Tamandua tetradactyla: one gene and its partners. The main gene of each other region encodes a partner of the protein of the gene in region 3 in a complex. Links are inferred from orthologs where the notes say so. Each region holds a gene or a part of one and is shown on either strand. Other genes may lie near its edges.

Evidence for each region.
Region 1: the proteins of CFB (region 3) and CFP are in contact, whole or in part, in a crystal structure (PDB 7NOZ), measured with the Homo sapiens proteins. The link is inferred for Tamandua tetradactyla from reciprocal best matches to the Homo sapiens genes CFB and CFP. Residues at the interface, in NP_001701.2 of Homo sapiens: Glu54, Gln56, Ser78, Thr316, Tyr317, Leu349, Ser351, Met394; in NP_001138724.1 of Homo sapiens: Arg329, Arg330, Asn331, Lys333, Pro341, Met420, Val421.
Region 2: the proteins of CFB (region 3) and CFD are in contact, whole or in part, in a crystal structure (PDB 2XWB), measured with the Homo sapiens proteins. The link is inferred for Tamandua tetradactyla from reciprocal best matches to the Homo sapiens genes CFB and CFD. Residues at the interface, in NP_001701.2 of Homo sapiens: Glu298, Ala301, Ser302, Ala332, Asp333, Ile469, Asp470, Glu471, Ser472, Glu518, Tyr519, Lys585, Asp758, Glu759, Asp760; in NP_001919.2 of Homo sapiens: Asn157, His158, Ala159, Gly160, Arg161, Arg162, Arg182, Thr183, Asp186, Arg200, Val228, Cys229, Gly230, Asn231, Arg232, Lys233.

What each region holds. Positions count from the first base shown.
Region 1 is NC_135353.1:122,498,363-122,506,057, forward strand, and holds the start of CFP (properdin), read left to right. Parts: upstream 1-4,604; 5' UTR 4,605-4,673; coding exon 4,674-4,752; intron 4,753-4,839; coding exon 4,840-4,990; intron 4,991-6,246; coding exon 6,247-6,422; intron 6,423-6,871; coding exon 6,872-7,042; intron 7,043-7,179; coding exon 7,180-7,371; intron 7,372-7,548; coding exon 7,549-7,695. UniProt on the Homo sapiens protein: A positive regulator of the alternate pathway (AP) of complement. It binds to and stabilizes the C3- and C5-convertase enzyme complexes. Inhibits CFI-CFH mediated degradation of Complement C3 beta chain (C3b).
Region 2 is NC_135337.1:82,121,184-82,128,398, forward strand, and holds CFD (complement factor D), read right to left. Parts: upstream 3,076-7,215; 5' UTR 2,518-3,075; coding exon 2,460-2,517; intron 1,973-2,459; coding exon 1,816-1,972; intron 1,716-1,815; coding exon 1,571-1,715; intron 1,362-1,570; coding exon 1,104-1,361; intron 767-1,103; coding exon 551-766; 3' UTR 487-550; downstream 1-486.
Region 3 is NC_135331.1:87,502,285-87,510,133, reverse strand, and holds the start of CFB (complement factor B), read right to left. Parts: upstream 3,068-7,849; 5' UTR 2,880-3,067; coding exon 2,810-2,879; intron 2,724-2,809; coding exon 2,490-2,723; intron 2,111-2,489; coding exon 1,925-2,110; intron 1,784-1,924; coding exon 1,610-1,783; intron 1,375-1,609; coding exon 1,273-1,374; intron 1,175-1,272; coding exon 1,038-1,174; intron 757-1,037; coding exon 618-756; intron 302-617; coding exon 170-301; intron 1-169. Other genes in the region: complement C2, read right to left, coding at 3,733-3,909, 4,053-4,102, 4,262-4,388, 4,568-4,659, 4,784-4,860, 4,963-5,128, 5,246-5,357, 5,440-5,534 and 2 more.

The DNA of each region.
Region 1 (7,695 bases), on a different chromosome or scaffold from region 3:
CTGAGACACAAGAGATGAGAATGTATGATTGTGTCTATGAAAACTTCTCGTGAGAGACTATGGTAAAGATTGTATATGTGAGAAACAGAAAAATGGTTAGAACTTGGAGACTATGAGAGACTTTAATTGTGTTTGTTTGTATGTGAAACTAAGAGACAAGAAGCAAATCGATTTACAGTCTGTTCCAACAGGTCCGGTGATTGTATATATGAGAAAATTTGAGAGAAAATAATGATGAGACTGACTAAGGTATGAGAGACCACATAATTGTGTCTGTGAGACAGAAGAGGAACTGTTCAAGAAAAACTGCAAGTAGTGACAACCAGAAGTCAGTAACTGTGAGAAACTGAGAGAGTAAAAATTAGTGGTTGAGACAGTGTCTCAGATTGTGTAGGTATGTGAAACATTTCATAAGAGACTAAATCAGGGGCTGTGAATTTGAAAAACCAAGAAAGTGACAGGAACTGAGTGAATGAGACACTGAGAGACCATGTCATTGAGTGTATAAGAGAAACTTCATGAAAGGCTGTACTATTGACTGTAAATCAGTAACTGTATGTAGAAGACTGAGACAATGATTGGAACTCAATGAATGGCTGAAACAGCTTAGGAGACTATTACTGTGGGTGGGGTGAAACGGACTGTGAGAGAAAATTTTTATAGTCGTGTATGAAACTGTTAGTGAGATACCATAATAGCAATTGTAAATCAATGACTGTACAGTAGAAGTCAACACATAGAAAATGGACCTGTGACTGAATGGGTAACAGTGTCAAAGACTGGGATTCTGTGGGAGGGTGTGAACCTATTGGGATAGGCTGTAGTCTTAACTGTAGATCAAATACTAAATATGCGAAGATGACTTCGAGGGAAAAAATGACTGAGAGACTGGTTGTGATGAATGTGAGACCAATGATGAGAGACTGCCACTGAGACTATAAATTGTGGATTGCATTTGTGTTATAAGAAAAAAATGTGAGAGAAAAATGAGTCAGACTTAGTGTAAGGTCAGGGACTGTGATTGTATGTGCCAATGGAACTCTAAAAGAGACTGAATTAGTGACCATGTATAAGAAAATGGGACTAAATGTGGTTGAAACAGCTTATGAGACTGTAATTGTGCGTGTGTGTACACAATAAGCCAACTATATAAAGAAAATGATGATGTGAATGAGAACGGCATGAGACACTGGTCATATATGTGAAACTTACTGAGATACTACTAGTGATTTTGAATCAGTGTCCACATACATCAGAAGCTGACTGAGAGAAAGTAATCATGAGACTGAATGGGTTTGAGAGTCTGAGAAACAGATCATGTGGGTATGTGTAAAACTCTTCGCGAGGGACTTTAGAATAAAAGGTGGTAAAATCAAGGTCTGGGTATATTGGAAGGTGATGAAGAAATAGGAGACTAGATGACTGAAACAGTGTCTATGACTGATTGTGTGTGCACGTGAAACTTCATGGAAAACTAGTAGAGGACATAATCAGGGTCTGTGGGGGGTGAGAAAAAGTGGCTTGAGTTAAGGGGTATGAGATATGCTGATGGCGATTTTGTACACTTATATGAGAAACTTCATGAGAGACTAGTAACTAAATCAGTAACTATTTGTGTAACTGAGAAAACAAATGAGACAATGTGACTCCGTTTGCGTGTATGTGAAAAACTGGTGAGAAAATGTTGGTGAGCTTGAATAAAACAAGATATGAGATATTATGATTGTGTGTGTGAAACTCTTAGTGGGAGACTGTACTAAGACTGAATCTGTGACAAAGAAAATGACTCCCTGTGTAACAGGGAATATCTGAGAGCCTGTCTGATTGAATATGCATGTGAACCAGTTTGTAAGAGACTACAGTTGAGGCTATAAATCTAGAACTGTGTCCATATATGTAAAAAAAAAAAAAGTGAATGAATTACTGAGACTGTGTGAGACATTATATGAGAGAACCACTTATTGCATCTGCCAGATCTAGCAAAAACCCTCTTGTTTGTCCTCTTCCTTCCCAGCCCCCTCCTCTTCTGGCTTCTCCCAGTTCTCCAAAACTTGAAATGTGGGGCTTCCCCAGGGCTTTGCCTCAGGTTCCCTTCTCTCTTCTCAAAAGCCCTCTCTAGGAGGTACAAGGGTAGTTCAGTGGTAGAATTCTCACCTGCCATGCGGGAGACCCAGGTTCAATTCCCAGCCCATGCATTCCCCCCCACTAAAAAATAAGCAAGTAAACAAACAAAAATTCAACAAATGGTGCTACAATAATGGGATACTCACATGGAAAAAGAATGAAATGTGACCCTGCCATACAGCATACCAAAAAAATAGCCCTCTTTAGGTAAATTCATCCAATATACACCCCCCCCCCCAAATGGTGCCCACATTTTCGTCTCTACACCAAACTGTTCCTCTTAGCAGTTATCAGGAGTTCTAAAGATCTATTTGCTTATTTCCTTTATTTGTTCATGCAGCAGACAGTGATTGAACACCTCCTGCATGCCAGTGCTGATCTAGGCCCTACAGACACAGCAGTTAACATTCGAGACAAAAATTCCTGCCCTCATGGAGCTGATATTTTAGTAACAGAGACAGACAAGAAACAGATGAATATAAAATAATAGATAGTGAGGCAGTCATTAAATGAGACAAGACTCTCACTGTTTTTTTAAATAAGGAATCTGCAGATTGATTTTTTGCCTGAACTCGTGTGGGAGAAGGTGAAAGTGCCAGCAAACCTCTTCAACAGAGAATCCTGTATTTATGCCATTTAGGAACAAAGGAAATACTGATTATAACTTTATTACCAGGGCAGCAGGTGATTAAATAAAGCAGCCAGCCAGAATTACAGGTTTCTCTGGTAGTTTATTTTCACAGGGTAACACAGCACTGATGTCTGAATTCTTCAAATCTAACAAGACCCCTTTGTCCAATTCACAGTTTCAAAGATGGGCTTATATTATTAGAGAACAAAGTATACCTGTAACAGATGCAATTATCAACACACACCTTATTGCCCATTAAAAAACACAGATATTCTTGTGGAAGTTGTGTTTTAACACCTGACCAAATCAAATTCCTTTATCTCGTTTTAATTTACAGAATGGTGTTTCTTTCTCCATGAATGTAGGGGAAATGAGAGCTTGCCTTCATGTCTTTCTTAGACAACTTTTTGTTAAAGATTCTCATTCTAAAGCAGGCTCTGGAGTTTCACTTATTAGAGTTTATTAAAAAAATAAATAACAGGTCTGTGGAACTCAGTTTTACTTGCATGGAAAATGGATTGGAGGAATTAATTATTAACAGTAAAATAGGGAGCATGTAGAGTTGTTTTCTATAGATGAAACCACAAAGAAGAGAGGGGTCAGAGGCTAGAACAGTAGTTCACAAAATATGGGCCCTGAATCAGCAGCACCAGCAACACCTGGAAATGTGTTAGAAATGCACATTCTTAAGCCCCAGTCCAGACTGACTGAATTAGAAACTCTGGAATGGGGCTCAGCTGTGTTTCAATGAGCCTTCTAGATGATTGTGAGGCACACTAATGTTTGATAACCACTGGGTTTGAAAGTGACAAGGGTGCCACACTAGAGGGTAGATGGGAAGCCCTCAGAGAGGTGACATTTATTATCTGTCTCCTCCTTTAGAATGTAAGCTTGAGGGCCAGGGTTTTTTTTGTTTGTTTGTTTGTTTTTGTCTGTTTTGTTCTCTGCACTGCCCAATGCCTAGAACAGCATCTGGCACCTAACAGGTACTCAACAAATGACTGTTGAGTGAATTTGTCTAACAATCAGAACACGTACTATATGCCAGGCACTGTTCTAAACACTTAAAAATCTTAACTCCCAATCCTTGCCACAAACTCTACAATATACATCCTCATTTTACAGAGGAGGAAACTGAGGCTCAAGGAAGGCAGAGTTGGAACATGGCAGAGCCAGTTCTTTCCTAACTACTCACTCCACAGACCATGCAAGTGTCCCCAACTGGGCCCCCAAGGCAGCAGACAACCCTATTGGCTGCTTCTGCATCCCTCTTCCCACACCCCTATCACTTCCCCTTCTCACTTCCCTTGTGCTGACCTCTCCACTATGCTGACTGCAGGGAACCTCATTTTCCTGAAAGACCATGGCTGAGGTTAAGTCAGGATAGAGGATGAAGCAATTACCCCAATGTCCCCTCCACCCTGTAAGCACTTCACACTCATTTCATCCTTGTTCAACAACTTCGTGGTTATGTTATTATGGTATAGATTATGTGTCTTACGGATAGGGAAACTGAGACGCAAAGTGGTTTAAGTGACTTGCTCAAGGCTACACAGCTAGGAAGTTTGTCTTGTTCCATACTGTGCTCCATTTCCCCTAAGTGAGAATTTGCCTAAAGAGCACTGATGGGAGCACTCAAAGGTTGCTAGGCAGACTGCTAGGTACTGGGGATGCGACGACAAACAAAACAGGACTAAGTGAGAGAGGAAACAGGGCGAGGACATAGATGGGACAAAGGCAAGGTCAGGGCAGCAGATACCTGCACAGCACCCTCCTCCGTGCCCCACCCCACCCCCATCTGCCCCAGTGCCCTCCCAGTTCCTCCTGCAGCCTGGTTCCTCTTTCCCTGCTGACTCCAGGAGGCAGGGCAGAGCAGATAAAGCCAGGCTTCCTCTCTGGTGGTGGCACAGTGCTCAGCATGACCGTTCAAACACAGACCTCTCGGTTGCTGCTGCTGCTGCCATTACCACTGTTGCTGTTCACCCTGCCCACCACAGGTAAGTGGGGAAAGGCCTCGCTGGCCCCCAGGGGTGCCTAGGCTCTTCACACCCCTGACTGTACCTTCCCACCTGGCCTCATCACAGGCTCAGACCCGGTTTTCTGCTTCACCCAGTATGAGGAATCCTCGGCCAAGTGCAAGGGCCTCCTGGGGGGAGGTGTCAGTACCAAAGACTGCTGCCTCAATGCTGCCTACGCCTTCCAGGAGCCAGGAGGTGGGCCCTGTCAAGCTTGCAGGTAAGGGGGAACCTGGAACAGAGCATTGGTGGGGGAGGTTTGGGGGTGGTGGCAAGGGGTAGGTAGAAAGAGCTGTCTGCAGGATGACCCAGGGCTGAGCTCTTTCCTTCTCTGGGATTTTCAAGGGTCATTCTGAGGCCCTGACTATGACCACAGCTCAGGATTTCTCAATTTTGGCACTAGCGACATTTGGGGCCAGAAAATTCTTTGCCCCGTGCATTGTAGGATGTTTATTAGCATCTCTGGCCTCTACCCAATAGACGCCAGTAGCAGCACACACACACTCTCCCAAAATTGTGATGACCAAAAATGTCTTCAGACATTGCTGAATGTCTCCTGTGGGACAAAACCACCCCAGGTTGAGAACTGCCACCGTAGCTCACACATACTGAGCCCTTCCTACATACTAGAAGCAGGGTGGGGTGAGGCAGGTGGGGCCAAAGGTATCCCTAGTCCCCTAATTGTGATAACAGCTCTTATTTATTGCATGCTTATTGTATATGGATACATTGTGGAGGTGAAAGAGTCTGGGGAGTTCAGAGGGCAGCTCCTGGCTCTTAAGTAGGATGACATGTGATATTCATTAAGCACTTTTGGCATACCAGATGCATTGTCGATGTGGGAGGGCAACCTGAGGGTAGCTCTAGTCTTCCAATCAAGATGCCAGCTTACATTTATTGAGCCCTTACTGTATACCAGATGTTTTTTCTAAATGCTTACTGTATATACCAGACATATTGTGAGGATTTTTGAGGGCAGTTCTGGGCCCCTAGACATGTCAGCACTTCACTATTAATTATTACTAACAACCTGCTCAGTGCTGTGCAGAAGGCTGGGAGTAGGTCTTGGGGTATTTCTGAGGTGGGGGGGGCGCCTGAGCCCCTTATCAGGATGATGGCTCTTATTATTAAGCACTTACTATTTGCCTATTCCCATGCAGGGTGGTGGCCTGACGGGTTTCTGACAGCAGTTCTGGGCCCATATTCCCTACATTTGCTTACTGTGTGCCTGGCACTGTACTTGGGGGACTTCCAAGGGTGGCTCCAGGTCCCTAGACATGAAGATAAATAACATTTATTAAGCACTTACTGTGTGCGCACCTCTTCTCAGTCTTCCAACATTCCTAAGAGGTAGGTGCTCCTATCAATCTATTCCACACACATATATACAGCATCCCCCATGTGCCACACGCCATTCCTGCCACTTCAATGGTACCAGACACAGCCAGAATGGAACACCTGTGCTCCTCTTTGCAGTAGCCCACGATGGTCACAGTGGTCTGTGTGGGCCCCCTGCTCAGTGACCTGCTCCGAGGGCTCCCAGCTGCGGCACCGGCGCTGCGTGGGCCAGGGAGGGCAGTGCTCTGAGAAGGAAGAGCCTGGAACCCTCGAGTGGCAGCTGCAGGCATGTGAGGACCAGGCATGCTGTCCTGGTGAGGAGGAGCAGTGAGGCGGGCAAGCACTCTCCATTAGTGAGGCCCTGACGGTGGGATCATGCCTGATGTTCGCAAGGAGCAGTCGGGGAGGCCAGTGTGGCTGGAGGAGAGCCAGTGAAGGGGAGAGTGATGGGAGGGGAAGTCAGAGAAGTGACAGGGCCTGATTGTATAGGACTTCATGGGCCATAGTGAGGAGAGGATTTTAGCTTTCACTCAGTGATTGGGGTTGTGGGCAGGAGAGACATGATCTGACTTGAGCTATAAAGGAGGGGTCAGCATGAAGCTTACCACGATAACCCAGCCTGACCATGACAGAGAACTAGGTGTGGTACCAGAGAATGCAGGGACAGATTGGCAGACAGACCAGATGTGGGGTACATGAGGAGGCAGGAAGCCCTGAATGATGCCCCCACCTCCATCCTATCCTCCTTTCTTCTCCCCTACAGAGATGGGAGGCTGGTCCAACTGGGGTCCCTGGAGCTCCTGCTCTGTCACCTGCGCCAAAGGGACCCGGGCCCGCCAGCGAGCCTGTGACAACCCTGCTCCCAAGTGTGGGGGCAGCTGCCCAGGAGAAGCACGCAACTTAGAGGCCTGCGACACCCAGAAAGTCTGCCCCAGTGAGTGAGGGCAGCCGCAGGGCACTAATGGGGGCACCTAGGGTGGATGTGTGGGGCTACAGCAGGGAATGCCAGGGTAGAAGGACCTCAGCATGCATGGCCACACCTGGCATTTCCCCACCCCCATCCCACTACAGCACATGGGGCCTGGGCTGCCTGGGGCCCATGGGGCCCCTGCTCAGGCTCCTGCCATGGTGGACCTCACGCACCTGTGGAGAAAAGAAGCCGCACCTGTACTGCACCTGAGCCCTCTACAGTGCCTCCCGGGAAGCCCTGCCCAGGGCTAGCTTACGAGCAGCAGGGCTGCACCAACCTGCCACCCTGTCCAGGTATGTAGACATGAGGACTTTGACACTCTGCCAACAGAGCTCTTGATTCCATGCACAGATTTTCTGCCAGTTGCAGGAGCTAAAAGTCCCAAATAATGTGACTCCATAGCTCTTCATTTGGGGGCAGTCTACCTACAGGATGGTGGACTCTCTCCTTACTCTCTTATTCCCCAACAGTGGCTGGGGGCTGGGGGCCATGGAGCCATATCAGCACCTGCTCTGTGACCTGCGGCCTGGGCCTGATCCTGGATCAGCGGACATGCGATCAACCTATTCCCCAACATGGAGGTTCCTACTGTGCCGGTGACTCGACCCAGACCCATA
Region 2 (7,215 bases), on a different chromosome or scaffold from region 3:
AGGAACATGGGTACCACGCCCCAGGTTCAGATCCTGGGTTTGCCAAGGAACTTCTGTTTGATGTCAAGAGAACCACGTGGCTCCTGCCAGTGTTTCCCTTCTGGGAAACGTGCAGCAAGTCGACATACTTCAGAGGGTTTCTGCACCTGAGCTTCAACCCAGAACGGGTCTTGCACACAAGAGGCTCTCAGGTTCCACCTGGGAATCAAAGGGAGAGCTGGGCACAGCCAGACCTATGTCCCCCTCCCACGCGAACCCATGCAGGGCCTCTAGGGAAGGGTGCGGGTGCCACCTCGTGGCTGGCGCGGGAGACGACATCCGCCTTGGGGCGTCGGGCCTCCCGGCACCGGGGTCTCAGTTTCCTGGCCCGCAGGCCGCCCCCTGCGCTTCGTCCAGCGAACCGCGCCTTTATCGGTGGCCTCCCGAACCCGTGCCACCGGGCTCACGGCCTCTGCATACAGTGGAGCTCCATGGAGGCTGACCGGATGCCGGACGGAATGACTTTATTGCTCGCAGCCCCAGCCCCCCGCGACCCCCGCACAGGGGACCCTCAGGGGGCCTCGGTCTCGGCCTCGGTCTCCGCGTCGGCCTCGACATTGGCCTCGGCCTCGGCCTTGGCCTGGGCCATGACGCCGTCGATCCAGTCCGCGTAGCTCGCCACGCGCGTGTAGATCCCGGGCTTCTTGCGATTGCCGCAGACGCGCGAGCCCGAGGTGACCACGCCTTCGGCCACGCCTCCGCACACCAGCGGGCCCCCGGAGTCGCCCTGCGGGGTAGGGGGCCGTGAGGGGCGCAAACCCCGCCCGCGACCCTCCCCACCGTAGCCCCCTGGGTCCACCTGGTTCTCCGCCAGCCTATCGCCCGGGTCCCGCCCACTGGACCAGGCCCCGCCCCTCTGACCCTAAGTCCGCCTCTAGCCCCGCCCCTTCCGGGCCCACCTGGGCCTCTGTCCCAGCGTCTGCTCCGGGATCCCAGCCGCCTGAGTCTCTGCTGTTCGGTGAGCCCCGACCTATCCTCGCCCCTAGCGCCCAGGTCTGGCCCCGCCCTCACCTCTTGGCTCCGCCCCAGCCAGTCCCCGCCCCGCCCCGCCCACCGGCCCGCACCTTGCAGCTGTCGTGGCGGTCGCTCCGCGCGCACATCATGCGCGGGGTGATAATGCCGTCGTGGAACGTGCGCTTGTTGCAGGTGTCGCGGTCGAGCACAGGCACGAGCACGTGGTACAGGCGGTCGGGCCGCCGGCCCGTGTGGCTGATCACGCCCCAGCCCGCCACGTCGCAGAGCGTGTCCCCCGCCACGTCGCGGTCCTCGCGCTGCCAGGGCAGGAGGCGCACGGCGGGACCCAGCGCGGCCTTCTCAGAGAGCTGGGGGGCGGGAGGCGGCAGTCACGGCGGGCGTGGGGGACGGCAGCACGACGGACTGCGGCTGCACTCGGTGACACGGGGTGGGGGGGCGCGGGCGTGCGCCCGAGCTGGGGGGTTGGGGGGGTTGCAGCAGGAGGGACTGCGGCTAGAGTTGGAGGACCCAGGGGTGGGAGCAGGTGCGGCAGGAGGGACGGCGCGTGGACTCTGACCTGCAGCAGGAGCAGGTCGTGGTCGATGGTGTCACGCCGGCTGTCGGGGTGGGGCACGGCGCGGCTCACGTTGTACAGCCGCTTGGAGGGCTCGGGCTGCGACAGGGAGTGAGCGCCCAGAAGCACCTGCACCTCCTGGCCGGCGCTGGGGGCGGGACGAGCCTGGGGTCAGAGTGGCGCCCCCCACCCCCACCCCTGGCGCCCGCGGCGCTCCCTCCCTGTTCCCACGGTCCCGGGCCACTCACGCATCCTCCAGGCAGTGCGCCGCGCTCAGCACCCACTTCTCGGCCACCAGGAACCCACCGCACACGTGCGAGCCGTTGACCTGCACCGATGCCATGTAGGGCCGCGCGTGGGCCTTGGACTCACTGCCCCTGAGGATGCGGCCGCGGGGCTGCGCCGCTGTGGGGGAGGTCGGCGGACGTCAGGACCGCGGGGAGGACAGGACCCCGGGGGGCTGCACCCCCACTCCCACCCTTGCAATGCTCCAGGCCCTCCCAGACCTGAGATTCCATCATTGGGATTTTCCCTCTCAGGGTTGCAGACTCAAATGCCCTGGGGCTGGGCAGGAAGACAGAGAAGACAAAAACCAGGGTAGTGGGAGCACTTGGGCAAATCAAATCGAGCAACACAGCCACTGCACAAACCCAAGGAGCTGGCCAGCCTGGCCCGGGCTTTGGCTGTAGAATTGCAGGGTTGGCTGCCAGGAACTCGGCACCTGGAAGGCTCAAATGCCACAATTCCTTGGCTTTCTCTTCAGGTGGCCTGTGCTCCACCCCTGGCTCCTGCCTGTTCGTTGAGGTTGGGGGATTATCCTGCTTGGGGTTGGGGGGGCCCTCGCGACACCCCTCCAGGCCGGTAGCCCCTACCCTCTCCCAGGCCCACTCACCACACACAGCCACTCCCATGAGAGTCAGCAGCGCTGGATGCATCCAGCCGGCAGCCATGGTGCCGCAGGGATCTCTGGACCCGGGCACCGCTTGGAGGGGTTTTTATGAGGGTGGAGGGGGCGGGCGGCTCCCATGGGTCCCATCTGCCAGTGGGCCGGGACCCAGATAGGGAAAGAGGAACGAACCAGCCCCACCTTTGCCCCCCCAGGGGGCGGGGGGAGCAGTGTTATCTCCTGGGGGGTGGGGTGCAGCACTCTCTCCCCGGGGTGAGGGGGGGCAGCATTATCTCCTGGGAATGGGGGTCCCTCCGGCCTCTGTGAGCCTGGCCAGGGCTGATCCTGGTGTGTGGGGAGGGGCATGGAGGAGGGCTGGACTCACCTCCTAGCCCCCAAGGCCCCTGCCCCATCTCCCCGACCCCAGAATACCCTTCTAGCCCCGAAATTTCACAATAGCAGCTGGAGGCCGTAGTTTGTAAACAACCCGTTTCCTCATTTCTCTGCCCCTCCCTTCTTTCTCTTCCTTCTCCAACTTGGAAAGGAGGTTGGGTGGGGGTTGGGGAGCGTCACCCAACACCTTGCCCTCTTCCCTGTGATCTCCAAGTCCTGAGGCCCCAACAAGTAGAATGTCAGAACAAGTAGAATGTCAGAATAAGTAGAATGTTGTGGCAGGGTGGGGGTGGGGGGGAAAGACTGCATACAAAAGCGATGGAAAAACCAAGTCAAACTGGATGAAGACTTCAACAAGGGAATGGAAATGGAAAATGACTGCCTTCAGGTGCAGCTTGATCCAGACACTCCAGCAATGTCAGGCTTCTTTCCTCCTTGATGGCTTCCCTCCTCACTGGGCTCCCCTTTTGTGGCCCCCCCCCCAAAGTGAAGGCCTCATTCCCCAGCACTCCAGCCAAAATCTCAGGCTGCCTCTGGTTGGTCAAGCCCAGGTGGCATGTCCCCACTCAAAACGGTCCCCAAGGACAGGAGATGGCAGGTTCTAATCGGCCACGCCTGGGTCCCACGGTCCTTGGTATGGGGAGATGTTGGACCAAGGTCCCCCAAACTGATGGGGGCAGAGGTGCTTGTGGGGGAAACCTCAGAGATCCCCACCGGAGACAGCCACATAATATTTTTCCCACTGCTTCTTTTCTCTTCACGGGAGACCATTTCACACATGCAGAAAATAATTGAGCAAATGAGATTGTTAGAGCCCACCGTGCTTCCTTCTTGAAGTCAGAAATGCTGAACGAAAGTGTTTTTTTGGGAGGGGGTGGAGTCCAGATTATGTGTCAATATGGTTCAAGGTTGCAACAAAAATTGGAAACAACCCCCAGGCCCAGTAAGAAGGGAGCAATTCAGTAAATAACCCTGAACTTCCCCAGATGTGGTTTTTTTAAAAAATTTATTTATTAATTTAGAAAAATTTAACAAACAAAATGTAACGTTAACATAGATAATCAGCAATTCACAATATCATTACTTAGTTGCATATTCATAATTTCTTAGAACATTTACATCCATTCAGAAAAAGAAATAAAACGAAGAAAAACAAAGAGTATACCTACCATACCCCTTACCCCTCGCTTTCACTGATCACTAACATTTCAAACTAAATTTATTTTAACATTTGTTCCCCCATTATTTATTTTTATTCTATATTTTCTACTCGTTTGTTGACAAGATAGATAAAAGGAGCATCAGACACAAGGTTTTCACAATCACACAGTCACATTGTGAAAGCTATATCATTGTTCAGTCATCATCAAGAAACATGGCTACTGGAACACAGCTCTACATTTTCAGGCAGTTCCTTCCAGCCTCTCCACTACATCTTAAACAACAAGGTGATATCTACTTAATGCATAAGAATAACCTCCAGGATAACCTCTCACTCTGTTTGGAATCTCTCAGCCATTGACATTTTGTCTCATTTCACTCTTCTCCCTTTTGGTCGAGAAGGTCGCAGATGTGGTTTTGACATGGAAAAGTCACTGGGGAGTCATATTAAATATAGAAAGCAATCAGTCGCAGGGCAGCTGGCACCTGGGCAGAGATGTGACAAAGGGATGAAAGCATGGGCAAAGGCCCTGGGGCCAGGGGTGGGCTGGCTGGCAAGTTCTTGCAGGAGAGGACTTGGGGCCGGGAAACAGGAGGGGAGGGGGTGCAGAGGAGCTGGCTTGTGGTTGCCGACCTCAGCTCCCTCATTTATTTGCTTGTTTGGGTGCTTGACTTCTCCCCCAATTGACTGTGAGCCAGTGGATGGCAGAGGCTGCCTCTGTTGCGGTCCCCACCCATGGCCCTGAGAGGGGTCCTTCCTGGGCTTCAGGGAGGTAGACAGACGGCTGTGACCTGAGATGTGAACCCCTGGCCAGGCCCTTCCCGGCCTGTGTCTCACTCCTTCCCCTCCAGGAAACAGGCAGCAGCAGCTTGCCTGAAGACTCAATCCCAGATGGGACTCGACCCCAGGTCTGGGGAACCCAAACCCTGGCATCCAACCAGGACTTTCCACCCCTCTGAAACTCTCTTTCCTCTCCTGTCCTGCTAGGACCTGCCTCGAGGTTGGAGAGGGTTGTATGAGCGAACACTTGTACCCTGCAAGCACTCCAGTAAACTGGAGCTGGTCACCGTCTGGGACGCTAATTTAATTGTGTGAAGGTGGATTGTGTAGGAAGGAAAAAAGGATGTCTGGCCCTCTTTTGTGGCCGGTGGGGAAGGGACCCGCTTCTTGTGTCAGTGCCCTGACTTTGCCACCACCTGGTGGCAGCGTACTTAAGAAATGCTCAAGACACCCACCTGACTGTTTTCACCCAACAGGTACGCAGCCAACAAATTCCCAGACACGTTCTACAAAACAAAGGAATTTTATTGTGCCAGTCACTAGATAAGCAGCCATGTGCAGGTGGAGTGGGGTGATGGGACAGCGCCTCCTAGCGGGTCCTGCTTGCCAGGCCCCTGGGCTAGGAAAGAGGGTGGACATCATAGCGGCGGATGATGGAGTTGATCCAGTCTGAAAACTGCGCCACCGGAGCAAAGGCATCTGGGTAGAAGCCAGAGGCACAGCTTCCACGGATGAAGGAGTCGATGCCAAAAACCAGCCCGTTGCAGACAAGCGGACCACCGGAGTCCCCCTGTGGAGGCAGACGGGCAGAAGTTTGAGTTTCAAGGCCTCTAGCCCACCCGTCTCCCGCTGGGGTGGAAGAAGTCCTTTCTGGTGTCTAGCTGCAGTCCCTCTTGCTGCAGCCCAGGCCAGGAACAAGATGGTGGGAGCAAGGGGAGGGGGCTACGTACGAAGCAGATGCCGGCCCGCCGGCGCCGCACGAGCGTGCACACGTTGGAGGCAGGGCAGAGGGAGGTCACCACCGTCACGTTGAGCTCTTGCAGGACACTGGGTGGGGGGTTGTTCGTGCCCAGGCGGCCCCAGCCCATGGCCAGGCAGCTCGTCCCGTCGCCCACACTCTGGCCCTGGGTGGGCAGCTGGGCCGTCCGCACGTTGGCATTGGTGGTGGCCGTCCCGTTGAGCTGTGGCAGGTGGGCAGAGCATCGGGGGTCACAGCGGGTGGCAGGTAGAGACCCTCCCTGCCCCAGGCCTCAGTTTCCCCCTCGGAGGCTCTGACCAGAAGTTGGCTTTGGGGATCTCATGGAGCAGGGCACCCACCCTGAGCCTCAGTTTCCCCCTCTATAAAGTGGGAGCAATCACACTAGCTGGGGGCACAATTAGGGGCATCCGGGACGTGGTCCATACACAGTGAACAGTAGCTGCACAATAAAGCAAACTGTGGGCAATGTGATTGTTGCCAAAACCCTTGTTTTAGAACTTTCCCATTTTGCAAGCTGGGGTGTGATATTCTCCCTCGAGTCTCCTGCCTGCCCCAAGTTGGGGGGACCTTGCTCCATTTCTCAGAGACAGGGTCTGTCCCTGCCTGTGGGTCACATAAGTGGATGGTATTGCTATTATTTATCAATAAGAAGAGCTGCCTCTGTTTGTTGATCAACAACTGCTTAGAGTACTGCAGTATCATCTTCCAAAATCCCCCCACCAGCCTAGGAGGTGGAGACTGAGGCAGAGAGGGGGTGTCCTGCCGGCTTAGAGCCCAGGTATGGCCCCAGGACCCTACATCCCAGCCCCAATGTGCCTCCCAGTCTCCCCCTTTCTGCCTAGTCCCACCCCTGACCTCAGGGCCTTTGCACATGCTGCCTCCGCCAGCCCATCCAGCCTCACACCTGGAGGATGACGATGTCATTCTGCAGTCTCCTGGGGTCAAAGCCATTTTCAAAGATCCGCTGGACTGAGAAGGTCTGTCGGGTGGGCTCCCGCTGCTGCAGGTCATGTGCCCCCAGTACCACCTGCACCCTCCGGAAGTTTCTGCAGCAAGCCGGGGCCAGGGGAGACAGTGACACAGGTTGGCCTGACTCGGCCCCTACCCTCCCTGTCCCTCTACAGAGCTGGGAACCCCAGCAGAGGCCACCCATCCCGCCCGCATGCCTATGGGGAGCAGGGAAGGTGCACGGACAGGGTCGCTGGGGGGGTGGGCTGCAGGCCCAGGACGGGCCCCTTGGAGGAGCCCCGGGGCCTGCTGTGCAATGGGGTGACTCACTGGCCGTCCACGCAGTGTGCCGCCGACATGACAAAGCTCGGGGTGATCAGGGTGGCCCCGCAGAAGTGGCCACCCCGCTGCTGCAGAGACACCATGAAAGGCCACGCGTGGGGCCGGGCTGGCCGGCCCCCCACAATCTCCGAGGCCTGCGCCGGGCCTGGGGACCCACA
Region 3 (7,849 bases):
TAGAAGTGATAGATCACAAAGAGCTCCTTGACACAGGAGAACTCAAACAGTCAGCTATGAGTAGCATTCAGTTTCCCAACCATGAGTCCAGTGTTACATGTGGGCTTTAAGGCCCACATGCTGGAGTTAAGGGGGGGTAATATGGGACAGGAGAGAGATCCCTTCTGACCATCAGTCATTAGGATGATGACATGGCGGGTGTGGTTCCAGCCTTCAGGGGGTTTATCCCCTATCCAGTTCATCATGCTGTAGACTGCTTGGAGGGCCTTCTTGGTATTGGTCCCTGTCTTCAACTTGTGGTCTGTGGAGAGGGAAGAGGCCACCATCTCACCTAGTCTTCAAAGCCACTTTTGAGACCCAGAAGCCTTTCAATCCCTGGGATCCCACATTTTTCCACTGTGACTTAGCTGTTAACCCATTGACTTCACTTTTACTACAAAGTGGTCCTCCCAGCCCAACAGGTTCCCATTAACCTCCATCGTCCAATGACCCTACTGTCCTCCCTTTTACTAAAAGTGGTTCTCCATAGCCCCTCCCTACAACGCCCCTCAACCTTCTGACCTCTCTGATCCCCAGATGAACCTCCTGTCATTGTCTTGCCTAACCTAATCTCTGACCTTCATAACTGATTTGGTTGATCCGCTCCGTGACCCAGTCTGCATCACTGCTCCTTGCTTCAGACACTCTAATCAAAACATTGGGGTCTGTGGCATATGTCACTAAACCGTATCTTGGCTTCACCCCATAACTCGCCACCTGCAAAGGGTCACAGGCATTGAAATGAAAATGCTGTGGTTGGGAGAAGTCAGCAATTTTGCTGGGATGAAGATCGTAGAGCAAGAGGTTCAAGGGCTGGCTAGTCACCCTGAGGTTCACAGAAGAGTCTGTGGTAAAGTCAGGGAAATGTTTCAAGTAGGTAAAGGAGGACAGAAGAGAACTTGGAAATTTTCTAGGGTCTTGTGGGTACCAGGGAACTGGCCCTGGAAAGCAGTGAGGTGTGTTCAGGGTCACCACGTTTAGGGGGCAGGGAGGTCCACCTTCTCAATGAGGCTGGTGAGACACCTCTTGGCCCCTGTGAAGTTGCTAGCTCCAATGCTGTCTGATCCGTCCAGCACCAGGTAGATGTTCATGGAGCCTGAGGGGTCCAGGATAATCTTCCGCTTCTGTTGTTCTCCTAGGTGTCACCAGAGAGACTCAGGCTCCAGCATGTCCTGTCCTCCTTCTCCCTCCTCCCCCAATTCTCAACCCTGCCTCTCTTCTCTGTCTTCAAACCTGGGCTGTGCCCATCTTCAGCATCGGCTCCTTCTATGGTCTCTGTCAGGGAAGACAGGAAGGCTTCCGCCACCTCTTGAGGGGTATCGTACATAAAGGAATCTGAGGAGTAGTAAAAAATCAGGTCAGATGTCTGAGAGGGTTTAAGGACTCAGTGACCAAAGAGACAGATTGTGGTTTTCCAGGGTGGGAAACTCTCAGAAGTGAGAAAAGCTCTACTGGGATGTTTGGAAGAAATGAGGGGGAAGCTGGGTTGAGCTAGGAGAAGATGGTGCCTTGGTATGGAGACATTAGGATGGAGGGCAGAATCTGTCGGGGGTCATAGTTCAAGGGTCACCTTGACAAGAAGGCTCTGTCCCACTCCAGGAGCCACCTTCCAGGCACTTTCGCTGCTGAGAACCACGCAGGGTGAGTCCCCGGCTGCAGTGGTAGTAGACGCTATCTTCAAGGCGGTACTGTCTGCCCACCTTCCTTGTGCCAATGGGAATGCCCGGGTTGGGGCAGTACCCCGCTGCAGAGGCACAAGACAAGGAGGTGAGAACCAAAGCCTGTGGCCAAAGGGCAAGGCAGAGAACAAGAGTTTTGGTGCTAGTTCCTCAGGCAGGTTGGTCAACAAGGAGAGAGTAATGTGGCAGGAGAAAACCCTTCTCACCTCCATCATCACAAATGGCTGTTTGCCCATCCCACCGGCCAGTTGCTTGACAGGTGCGATTGGCAGAGCCCCGGAGAGTATAACCGTCATAGCAATGGAAAGAGATCTCATCACTCAAATTGTAGTAGGGGGCCCGGGGCCAATATTCCCCATTCTCAAAGTCCTGTGGTCTTTGGCAGCGAATTTCTTTAGGTAGAGAGAAAAGTGGAAATCACTAAAAGAGAAGCACTGTCCTTCAGGGTCTCTCTCCTGATCTCAGGTCCCTGTACTGACAAACAGCACTGTCCCAGTCCCACAAAAACAGCGTCTACTCCCCTTTACCTTTCAACCCATGGGGCACCCAGCTGCTCCTTCATCCCCATGTCTGAGTGTTCTTTTAACTGTGAGGGCTCCCTGGTACAGGGTAAGCGCTCCTTTCTCCTCCCTCCTCCCCACCTCAGACCCTAGAGCTGCTCCTACTCCCTCTCAGCGACCTGCTCTCAATGTAGGACATATAAGTCCCAACCTTTGCCACCACCTACTCCATCCCTCCCTTGACCCACCCCCACCCTCACTGCCCCCCAACCTTTGCACTCTGCCTTCTTGACAACTTTTCGGTCTTTGGTTTGCAGGGTACTCCAGGACCCCCAGGGTCTGCAGATGCGAGTCTGCACAGGGTATGGGTAGAAGCCAGAGGGACACACATACTCCAGTGCCTGGCCCTCCTGGAGAAGGCGGAAGGAGCCACCTGTGATCTCTACCCCCTCCAGAGAGCAGGGGCTTTGGAGCTTGTCCTTAGGCAGTGGAGTTGTGCACACACCTAAAGAGAACGGCTGATTAAGCCTGGCCCCATGAGGCTGAAGAGGGATGTTAGGCAGCAGGAGAGGGGAGCTGATCCTCACTTACCTGCGGACAAGAAGCCCAGGACCAAAGGAAGCAGGCAGAGTGGGAGGTTGAGATTCCTCCCCATGGCCATGGAAGACAGGAGAGAAGGTGGCGATAGGGGGAGAGGGGAAGCAAGATGGTCTATTATCCTGACTTGTGCTGTGTGTCTGGCTCTGTGTCCAAGAGGAAACTTCAGCCCTGGGCCTGGTCACACTCCTTCTCCTTGGCTCCCACCAGCCCCCAAGCCTTTATGCAATCTGTGTCTGGCACCTGTGGCTCGCTTGCCCCACCCACCCCACACAGATCACTTTCCGGAAAGTCCAAGTGGGAGGGCTCCACTGAGCTTCCAGCCAAGGAAATAGAAACTGCACGAACCCCACCTTTTGATGCTCAGATTCCAGGACTCTCCCCCTCAACACCCTGCCAGCTCTTCTCCAACAAACCCAGGCTGCCCTGTTAGGGACCACAAATAAGACCCTGACCTCACTCCCCTGCGGACTGTGTGTGATGAGGCAGAGTCCAGCAGCTGTTTACCCAGCAGGGGCTCTGACCTGCCCTCCTGGGATTCCTGGAATCATTCTTGTCCCGCCCCCAGGCCAACTGAACCCAGCACCATCACCCCACCCCAGGCCGGGGCACAGATGGATGTGGAAATCATTAACTTTTATTAATTTCATAACTGGGAAATTCCACGTGAAAGTGAAAGGAGAGGTGAGACAAACCAGAGGAAGGGATTTGAACACTGGCTGGAGAAAATGGAAATGAGGATCTGGGGCAGTCAGCCCTGGCATGGCCCGCTGCCTGCTGGGATCGATCCTGGAGGCCAAACTTTACTCAGAGCCAGGAGCAAGGGTGGGTAGAGAGGGCTGAGTAGGGATGTCAGAAAAAGGAGTGGGAAGAGATGGCAGGTCCCGACAAGACAGGAGAAGGGCCGGTGGCCATGTCTAGGGGGGCAAAAACTTCAGGACATCCTGAAGGTGCTGCCTCAGCCAGGGCTGCAGGCGGAAGAGATTGATATGGAAGTCTCGTGGTGGAGGGACCATGCCTTGGGGAGCCCTCTGGCGGAAGTTTTTGTCGGCGCTGACACAGGGGCTGTAGAGGCCCCAGCTCACCAAGCCCACCTGGAAGAAGGGAGTGAAGAGGGCGAGGGTCTGCCCCAGCCCCAGTCCCGAGCCCCAACCTCCCTGGTTCCTGCACAAGCCCTCCCGCATCCCCCTAAGACCCAGCCACCCCCGTCCTGCGAACTTGCCCCGTTTCTTCTCACCTGAAAAAACCTATATTTTCGCTCAAGGAAAACTGCTCCCCCAGATTCTCCTGCAGAAAGGAGGGAGAGGGGACAGCGTCACCCCGTCGCTCACCCGGCTCCACTGTCATCGCAGGCAGCACAGGGTCTCCTGGTGTGCGTGCTGGCCGCGAGGACACCGGTGGCTTTCCCCACATGAATCCAGGTCTAGAGGGGAGAAGGGAGCTCACCCCTGCAGGGATTGTCATCCTTCCCCATCCCGCTGCAGAGGAACTGGTCTGTCACCACATCTCCGACAGACGTCAGGTTGGGGAACATGGTTTTGTGCTGGGAGACCACCTTGATGCAGTCTTCCCTCTGCAGTATGGGTGGAGCAGGAGAGAGGGATGGAGCAGGTAGAGCCAGGGGACACCTGGGGCGAGCTGAGCCGGGAGGAGGGCTGACGGCTCAGAGCGAGAAAACGACCAAAGCCAGGGGAGGGAGAGGGACGTCCTGGGAATCCCGTCCCCCACAGCATCCCGGACCCAACCCCTCACCTCCGACCCCAATTTGAGGTTAATGTTCAGTGCGCTCCCATTCAAGGCCACAAAATGGGCAGGAACACTCAGTGTGTCCAGAAGTTTTCTCTCTGCAGCCGAGGAGAAGGGGGTGCTGGTGCTGGTGCCTTTGCTCGGAACCCAGACTCCTGGCCTGGGAGGTCCGCCCCACGCCTGGGACCCCAGTTCTTCACACGCCCTAAGCCTCGTGCTCACCATGGTCCCGACAGGTGCTGCCTTGGGGTCTCCGCAGAGCCAGATTGGCTCCCTCTGTGCAGGGAAGGCAGATGGGCCTGGGAAGAAGGGTGCAGGTCATGCAGGCAGGCTGGCCCCTCAACCTCCCTTCTCCTGGGCTCCCCAAGACCGGCCTTCCCCGCGAGGTGCCCTCCCGGCACCTGGCATGGGTGGACATCTTCACTTTCTGAGCCAGCTTCAGCAGGGCGATATCGTCGCCGTAGAACTCCAGGATCCCCTGCTTCTTCTTGGCAAAGACGTCGAACCCCGGGGAAGTCACCACCTCCTCAATCCGGAAGTCTTTGCCCCACTGGGAGTTTGGATCCCCTGGAAACGGCACAGCAGATTAGACTGGACCAGAGCTTGTGGAGGGCTCAGAGGCTGGAGACACAGGGCAGAAGCTCTGGTCCCGGAGTGGAGGGCCTTGGTGCGACCCTGCCTTACCCACAATAACTCTCCACAAGGAGATGTCCTCGACATTGCGGAAGCAGTGGGCAGCCGTCAGGACCCACTGGTCCGAGATGAGGGCCCCCCGGCAGGTCTCCTGGCCCTTGGGCTGCAGGACAATGGGTGATCCTCAGGCCCCTGGCCCAGTTCACCTTGGGGACCCAACCCCCACCCTTCCTTCCTGGTCTTGCCTTGATGGTGACATGCCAGGGTGTCCTTTCCTGGTCGGAGGCATTGACTGACATGTTCCCCACCCCGCAGATGTTGTCTGTGAGCTTGGAGACATCTGTGAGGGTGAGGAGCAGACAGGGAGGGAGCCAAGCGAGGGGCTGAGCCCGGGGCTGCCTCGTTACCCGTGCCCCGCTCCCGCCAGGGCAAAGCTCACTCACCCAGCATATGTTCAAAGACATGGAGCAGAGCCTCTGTGTCCTGCAGGATGAAGGCGTGCCTCTCTCCATCCTTCTTGGACCCCAGCTCATTCAGTTCTTTCCAGTCCACATCCACCTTGCCCACCCCAATGGCATAGATGTCTGATGGGGAGGAGGGAAAGCACCCGAATCGTGTGGCTGCGGGGCTACCCCGTGAGGCTGGAGGCTGTCATTTGGAACTCACTGTGTCCTCCAAAGCTTACAGGAGCTGGACGCCCCTTTCCCACCCCCGTCCCACCCTGTTTCCTACCACGGCATCCTTCACTCTTTTCCAGCCACGTAGGTCCCCTCGCAGTTCCTCATCCTACCCTCAGGCCCTTTGCGCCAGTGCCTCCACTTGCTTTACTCTTCCCTCCTCTTCCACGCACCTCCCTTTCTTGCTTCTTTGGGCTTAGTCTTAAATGACACCTTCTTGGTGAGGACTTCCCCAGCCTCCTTGTCTAAAACCATAATGCCCCAGATACCAGGCACTTCCATCCCTCCACCAGCTCTTAAACACCTTAGCACGCCTCACTACTTAATGTGCTGTTTGGTCTCCTTATTTATCTTGTTTATTGGCCCTGTTCTGGAAGAGCAGCCCCATGCAGGCAGGCATTTGTATCTGTTTTGTTCACAGCTGAAAGCCCAGGAGAAGCACTCTGTGAGTACTTGTAAACGAATGAGTGAATGAAAAAGAACACATGCACATAGCATGGAGAGAGAGCTTTGGATCCGATCTCCCTCTGTCAAACATATAATCTGGAAGAGCAGCCCAAAGCCGTCCCTCCCCACTGAAAAACCGGGACCCACACAACCATCCACAGCGGCCTCTGAACATGGGTGCCCTGAAGCGGCTCACGGGAGTCTTGTCTTCTCCGACCCTCAGCACCCCATCATGGCCCACACTTGCCCCTGTGTTGAGTGTAGGGAATAAGTATGCAGGTGGACTGTGAGAGAAATCTTCAGCCAAGGAGGGATCCTGCAGAGGTGGTCAGAAGCAGTGACAGTGTGAGCTGGACAATTACCATGCCCAGGGTGTTTTCTTTGACTAGTACCCTTAAATTTCCCATTTTTTAATTTTTTTATATTTTTAACATAGGCAGGCACCGGGAATCGAGTCCTGGTCTCCAGCATGGAAGGCGAGAATTCTGCCTGCTGAGCCACTGTGGCCAGCCCTCCCATTTCTTTTCAATAAGATATTCTGGAACATTTATCCCATGGTGCTAAGGGAGCGGATGTGAATGATGTCCTTCTCCAGCCAAAGTTTTAAAGGGGAATCAGTGTGTCCCGGAAGGGCAGGGAGGATGGGGTCAGCGAATGGAAAAGGAGAGGATGCAAGGAGCAGGTGACACTCAGGGGCTCAACACCAGCTGCCCTCCCTGCCTGGAGAATCTCTCTCTGAAATTCTTTTCTTGTCAAAGTTCAGTGTGATCTGTGTTTGGTTTGAACCCAAGGAGTTGTTCCTTTAGGGGCTGCCGCTGCCAAAGCCATGCTGCTAAAAGACATGATGTCAGGGAAGGCCCTCACAAGGGATCTAGACCCCTTCTTCCTGGGGTGATGCCCACGGCCATGGCCAATCAGGATGGAACCGAGGTTGAAACCCTGGGCAATCTGGCTGCAGACTCCGCACACTTCACCACGACCTAAGGGACTTCCATCCAGAGCGCCACAGCCTACATCCCAGGCTGGAACCCCAGGAGGAGGCCTTGTGCCACCTGCAGTGGTGTGCCGGGGATGGTGGGGGGCGCCGAGGCTCACCCAGGTAGTCGTTTCTCTTCTGGTTGATGTTCAGAATCTCCTTGATATCATCAACAGCCCGCTTGGGTGAGCCACCCATGTTGGACTTTCCTAGATCGAGAAGGGACGAGAATCGTTGACTTGGGTGGGTGTCAGGTTCCCCAGAGCCCTGGGAGTGTGGAGAAGCACCCAGCCTGGGAACCTGAACCTTTACACTTCCAATGTGCGTCTTAAAATATACTGTTTTATTGGAATTTTCCATGTGCTGGAGTATCAGGCCAGGAGCTTCATTTACATTCTCTCTCTTAATTCTCAGGATAACCCCCATATATGGGTATTCTCATTTTTTTTCTTCCATACACCATGAACTAAAAAGGGATATCTATATAGTGCATAAGAATAACCTCCAAGATAACCTCTCGACTCTGTTTGGAATCTCTCAGCCACTGAAACTTTA